Linked DNA regions of Xenopus tropicalis. The protein of the gene in region 1 purifies or fractionates together with the protein of each later gene. This does not show direct contact. Links are inferred from orthologs where the notes say so. Each region holds a gene or a part of one and is shown on either strand. Other genes may lie near its edges.

What was found.
Region 2: the proteins of rnf111 (region 1) and smad2 purify together in Homo sapiens (affinity purification with western blotting, with the first as the bait; 3 studies listed by BioGRID). This does not show direct contact. The link is inferred for Xenopus tropicalis from reciprocal best matches to the Homo sapiens genes RNF111 and SMAD2.

The regions. Positions count from the first base shown.
Region 1 is NC_030679.2:99,185,516-99,189,171, reverse strand, and holds part of rnf111 (E3 ubiquitin-protein ligase arkadia), read right to left. Parts: intron 1,799-3,656; coding exon 1,479-1,798; intron 1,037-1,478; coding exon 787-1,036; intron 1-786. UniProt on the Homo sapiens protein: E3 ubiquitin-protein ligase. Required for mesoderm patterning during embryonic development. Acts as an enhancer of the transcriptional responses of the SMAD2/SMAD3 effectors, which are activated downstream of BMP.
Region 2 is NC_030677.2:206,123,977-206,127,091, reverse strand, and holds the end of smad2 (mothers against decapentaplegic homolog 2), read right to left. Parts: intron 2,861-3,115; coding exon 2,716-2,860; intron 2,140-2,715; coding exon 2,016-2,139; 3' UTR 545-2,015; downstream 1-544. UniProt on the Homo sapiens protein: Receptor-regulated SMAD (R-SMAD) that is an intracellular signal transducer and transcriptional modulator activated by TGF-beta (transforming growth factor) and activin type 1 receptor kinases.

The sequences.
Region 1 (3,656 bases):
AGTTACACTGTGGTCCTGCCACATTATCATGTAAATCAAGGCAGGAAATGAAAGAGACATGGCCCAATATAGTGGCCACCAAAAACACTGCACAGCTCTGTATTTCGCACTATGACATAGGAGCACAGAAGTTATGCGTTGTCTTAACAGTGCTCAGAGACTTAGCATACAATAAGGCTGTGCAATGATTACCTAACAAGCACCTCCTTAAAGGAACAGTAACACCAAAAAATAAAAATGTATCAAAGTAATTAAACTATAATATACTGTTGCCCTGCACTAGTAAAAGTTGTTTGCTTCAAAAAGACTACTATAGTTTCTACATAGACTCTGCTGTATAACCATAGGGGTAGCCACTCAAAAGGAGAAGACACAGGTTGCATAGCAGATAACAGAAACATTCTGCAAAATACAATGGTGTTAAATCAGTTATCTGCTATGTAACCTGTGTCTTTTCTCCTTTTTTCCAGCTTAAATGGCTGCCCCCATGGCTACACAGCAGCTTATTTATATAAACTACAGTAGTGTTCCTTAAGCACACCAGTTTTACCAGTGCAGGGTGACAGTACATTTTAATTACTTTAAAATACTTTTAATTTTTGGTGTTCCTTTAAGCTTAATGCAGTCCTTCCACCTAACATTTAAATCAAGGTGTAACTATTTAGCTTGTCCTGCAGGCAGCTCATACACAGCATGTAATGATTTCTAGAAATTATACCTTCTTCGACATGTAACTATAAGAATGGGTCATAAAGTCTCCTAAAGCATGGAACCTCTACTACTTACAAGGAGCATGCATGTAATGTCTGCAGGAAGAGAGTGGAGTTGGAGGAGGAGGCTGTGCTTGCGCTACCATACTTGATCCATAACCATCAATTGCCATGGTCTGAGCAGTGCTGGTAGTGGACTGATGTCCATAAACTGTTGATCGCGATGAAGAGCCAGGACAGCAAGGATCAAAAGCAGATGTACTATGAAAACTAACACTTCCGTGGCTTCTTATGCCATTGTTACTCAAATCTACAGGCAAGGCTTGCTGTAACAAAAAAACACAAAAGTACCAAATATCAGACAACTTTTTAGCATCCTTTACACCCAAGAACGGTCCCTGAAAATGTTTAAGTGGTGCTTAAAGTTTGCAGTGCTGTAACAATGCCCCAATTAATAGCAAATCATATGTTGCACAAGGAGTAGCTAAAATATGTTTTTTTTCCATTAGGCTTGCTATTAGTTAGTTTATTAGGGTCTTTAGTTACCCTTTAATAAACTTGACTTCTTTTAATTATGATACAAGGCTGCTGTGAAGTCATAACTTACAATTCAAACAGCAGCTGGGCCCCATTCTCAAAGCAAAGCCCTGCCTGTAGGAGCAGGAGACATGGTGTCTATGCACACTGGTAAGTCAATTTATGGTGCATAGGTTAAATGCTTGCTTTCGGTCACCAACAACAATCTATACATATTTTAGTCAACCTTACTGGATCATGATAGGTGGATCCTGAGCTGCTAGTTGCTCCACAAGGTGGTGGCACTGCAGCATTTCTTTCCACAGGACAGTGCGAGTCCCTGAAGGAAGGAGACAAAGGAACTCCTGGGTGGGAACTCTGATGGTGATGATGATGGTGGTGTGGAAAGTGGTGACTGTGTGGTGGGAAACAGCTTGAATGGGGATGTCCCAGGACATGATTCTGTGAGGATCCTCCACACGGCGAGTGCTGGGGACAGCAAGATGGTAAACGTGGCATTGCTGGAGGGCCACCATCTACATTGGTGCCAGAAGTACTAGTTCTGGAATCATCTATGAGAAATTAAGAAAATTTTAATTAAAAAAAAAAAAAAAAAAAAAAAAAAGAAGAGCTGAAGCATTTAAAGATGACACTAATAATGTCAGCCACTCATCCTTGCAGGCATGACTTAAAAATGAGCTCTGGACATCTGGGATATGGTCTCCTATGGAAGTATACAGCAACCTTACTTCCTAATTATTCTTTAATAACTAGGTATTTTAAATAACCCAGGAGAAAAAGAAATAACCCCCATAGATGTATACTATGTACAGTCGTGGGCAAAAGTTTTGAGAATGACACAAGTATTAGCTTTCACAAAGTTTGCTGCTAAACTGCTTTTAGATCTTTGTTTCAGTTGTTTCTGTGATGTACTGAAATATAATTACAAGCACTTCATACGTTTCAAAGGCTTTTATCGACAATTACTGTACATGACATTTATGCAAAGAATCAGTATTTGCAGTGTTGGCCCTTCTTTTTCAGGACCTCTGCAATTCGACTGGGCATGCTCTCAATCAACTTCTGGGCCAAATCCTGACTGATAGCAACCCATTCTTTCATAATCACTTCTTGGAGTTTGTCAGAATTAGTGGGTTTTTGTTTGTCCACCCGCCTCTTGAGGATTGACCACAAGTTCTCAATGAGATTAAGATCTAGGGAGTTTCCAGGCCATGGACCCAAAATTTCAACATTTTGGTCCCCGAGCCACTTAGTTATCATTTTGCCCTTATGGCACGGTGCTCCACCATGCTGGAAAATGCATTGTTCTTCACCAAACTGTTGTTGGATTGTTGGAAGAAGTTGCTGTTGGAGGGTGTTTTGGTACCATTCTTTATTCATGGCTGTGTTTTTGGGCAAAATTGTGAGTGAGCCCATTCCCTTGGATGAGAAGCAACCCCACACATGAATGGTCTCAGGATGCTTTACTGTTGGCATGACACAGGACTGATGGTAGCGCTCACCTTTTCTTCTCCGGAAAAGCCTTTTTCCAGATGCCCCAAACAATCGGAAAGCGGCTTCATCTGAGAATATGACTTTGCCCCAGTCCTCAGCAGTCCATTCACCATATTTTCTGCAGAAGATCAATCTGTCCCTGATGTTTTTTTTGGAGAGAAGTGGCTTCTTTGCTGCCCTTCTTGACACCAGGCCATCTTCCAAAAGTCTTTGCCTCACTGTGCGTGGTGCAGATGCGCTCACACCTGCCTGCTGCCATTCCTGAGCAATCTCAGCACTGGTGGCACTCCGATCCCGCAGCTGAATCCTCTTTAGGAGACGATCCTGGCACTTGCTGGACTTTCTTGGATGCCCTATAGCCTTCTTAACAAGAATTGAACCTCTTTCTTTGAAGTTCTTGATGATCCTATAAATTGTTGATTTAGGTGCAATCATAGTAGCCACAATATCCTTGCCTGTGAAGCCATTTTTATGCAACACAATGATGGCTGCACGCGTTTCTTTGCAGGTCACCATGGTTAACAATGGAAGAACAATGATTTCAAGCATCACCCTCCTTTTAACATGTCAAGTCTGCCATTCTAACCCAATCAGCCTGACATAATGATCTCTAGCCTTGTGCTCGTCAACATTCTCACTTGAGTTAACAAGACAATTACTCAAATAAGCTCAGCAGGTCCTTTAATGACAGCAATGAAATGCAGTGGAAAGGTTTTTTTGGGATTAAGTTAATTTTCATGGCAAAGAAGGACTATGCAATTCATCTGATCACTCTTCATAACATTCTGGAGTATATGCAAATTGCTATTATAAAAACTTAAGCAGCAACTTTTCCAATTTCCAATATTTATGTAATTCTCAAAACTTTTGGCCACGACTGTACACACTTACCAGTAGAAACATTGAGTTTTGGTG
Region 2 (3,115 bases), on another chromosome or scaffold:
GGTCTCTCATTCAAACCACTTGCAGGTTACTAAGGCAAAATTAAACCCTAGCAACCAGACAACTGCTGATATTCCAAACTGGAGAGCTGCTGAACAAGTAATTAAAAAAAACACAAATAATCATGAAGACCAACTGCAAATTGTCGTAGTATATTACTCCCTACATCAGGAGTCCCCAACCTTTCTTACTCGTGAGCCACAATCAAATGTAAAAAGACTTGGGGAGCAACACAAGCACCATAAAAGTTCATGGAGGAGCCAAATAAGGGCTGTGATTGGCTATTAGGGGCCTCTATGCACCCTATCAGCTTACAGGGGGCTTTATTTGGTAGGAAATCTTGTTTTTATTCAACCAAAACTTGCCCCCAAGTCAGGAATTCAAAAATAACTCCCTGGTTTGGGGGCACTGAGAGCAACACCCAAGGGGTTGGGGAGCAACATGTTGCCCCTGAGCCACTGGTTGGGGATCACTGCACTACATCATACTAAAATATAAGTCAAAATGGGGGGGGTCCTACAGAGGCCAAAAGAAGCGACGCCACAGTGAGAATTAAATCTTTTATTAGTGTATTCACATATTCGGCAAATGCAACACGCACAAAGCTTATGTCTTTAGTTCACAAGTTCTACCAATACACAAGCCTACTGGTAAAACTAGTTCACAAACGGTAAATGCTTTTGCCAATTACGTTTTTTTTGTTTTGCAATGGTTTGGCCTACTGCTTACCTTTCCGACACACAGTTGTGGAACTGCCTCTATGTTCTAAACGATACAGCATACAATTAAAGAGATGCCCGCTCTCCGAGATTTCGCTGAATGACGAGACATCCTAACACTGGCCGCTTTTGGTTTTTTGTTTTATTGGTTTATTGAGGTTTGTTCAGAAAGCCAAGGAGCAGTCACTAGCTGTACTCACAAAGTACACTACTAGTGTAAAAAGGGGGATAGCTGTGGGGGTAAGAGGGGGAGAGAGAAGGCAAATACTGCCCCAACGAGAAAGATCTGACAGACAGCAAGAGAACAAAATGGTTAGTAAGATGTACATATTAAAGCCAGAGTACCCTTTCTAAACCGCCTCTGCCCAACCCTTTCCCTATCCTCAGACATCCATAGAATAGAATTCTAAATATTGTATAGGGTCCAAATGTAGTGTCCAAGGGTTTACAATAACATGCACTTAAAAAAAAAACAATTAAAAATAAAAAAATAACCCCTCCTCTGCTGGTTACACTTCCAAGCCCAAAGGCTCCGGTGCTTGGCTTGCCAACTGGTACAAACCGTGATCGACCCAATACCATGAACGACTGCTGGGTCCGGGGGGGGGGGGGGTGAATAAAAATACGTTCGGCTACTCGATCACCGGTTGGTTTACCAGAGAACGCCAATTCGGGGGTGATATGTTCGCGGCTGCTTTGGAAAATACGCAAGGGGAGAGGAGCGACAGCAGATTCATTAGAACAACTTATAAAAATAGCAAGTAGTCAAAAAAGGAAAAAAAAAAATACAAATATAAGAGGGCAATAATAATAATAATAATAATGGCAAAACGCAATGTGTTTTGATTGTGACAGGAGTAAAATGAGGGGAAGCAGGCACGCTATCTGCTGCAACTAAAAGGCATAACTGCACAGTAACTGGAGAACAATATACAGGACATGTACATAGGGACTACTTGTGTTTATTGTTTATCCCGACACTCAACTCTTTGCCCAATAATACACTGTTAAATGTCCTTTTTTTTTTAAAAGAGTCCCGTCCCTGGTAAGGAGTCATTTATACACTAATATTTCAGCTACTTTAAGAGTATCAGAAACATAATCCGACAAGGTGCTTTACGTTGATGGGACCTCAAGTGCTGTTTTCGCTTTTTGTTTTTGTTTTTTTGTTTTTTTTTCTTTTGGATTGTAAACAGTTCATGGGGACCACACACAAATACTATGACAGACAAGCTGTATTGAGTCTGTTGCTGGGACTTCGGTTGCCACCCGCAGGTAATACATAAAAGAAGCGCCCATTAGGACATGCTTGAGCAGCGCACTGAAGGGGATCCCATCTGTGTCAACACTTTGTCCAACCACTGCAAAGGTCCGTTCAGGTGAAGCTCGATCCAACATGGAGTGCTTGTAACGGTCTGCCGCCTACAGACAGACAGAGAGGAGGGTTAAGCACGAGCACACAAGGCAGAAAACATTAGCAATGAGGCATGGTAATGCTTGATTATGTGCCACTGTGACAGAATGCTCTGTTATACAGATAGCTAGAATCTCAGCCATAAAGCAGGGCAGGACTGCTGCTTACAATGGGGGGGATCAGATAGGATCTGTGCCACTGTGACAGAATGCTCTGTTATACAGATAGCTAGAATCTCAGCCATAAAGCAGGGCAGGACTGCTGCTTACAATGGGGGGATCAGATAGGATCTGTGCCACTGTGACAGAATGCTCTGTTATACAGATAGCTAGAATCTCCGCCATAAAGCAGGGCAGGACTGCTGCTTACAATGGGGGGATCAGATAGGATCTGTGCCACTGTGACAGAATGCTCTGTTATACAGATAGCTAGAATCTCAGCCATAAAGCAGGGCAGGACTGCTGCTTACAATTGGGGGATCAGATAGGATTGGGTCAGCAGCTGTAAGTAGGTCTCTGCTCTGCATTTTCTCATATAGTGTATCAATATGCATCCAAAAATACACTTGATAAATGAAGAGTTACCTGTATTCAGCACCCCAGCCTTTTACAAAGCTCATTCTTATGGTGCACATTCGAGTTAACTGATAAACTGCTTCGAAGCCTTGATTCACAGACTGAGCGAGGAGAGCAGCAAACTCTTGGTTATTAAAAATCTTCAGATTGCATCCTGTGAGACAGAATGTAGAATTGCCACAATTACTCCGATTTCAAAATATTCCAACCAAAGGGGGTCAGAAGTACACCTTCCTGTGAACATGAGGGGTATTGAACTGCCCCCTGCGCATTTTGATATAGAATAAAAATGTACTCTCTTTTTCCCATAATTATTGGGGGAATAATTTATAAACACAAAAAAAATCCTATTCTGTATACTTGTTATTATTGTTTACAACAATACAGACACCAAACACATTATTTCTAC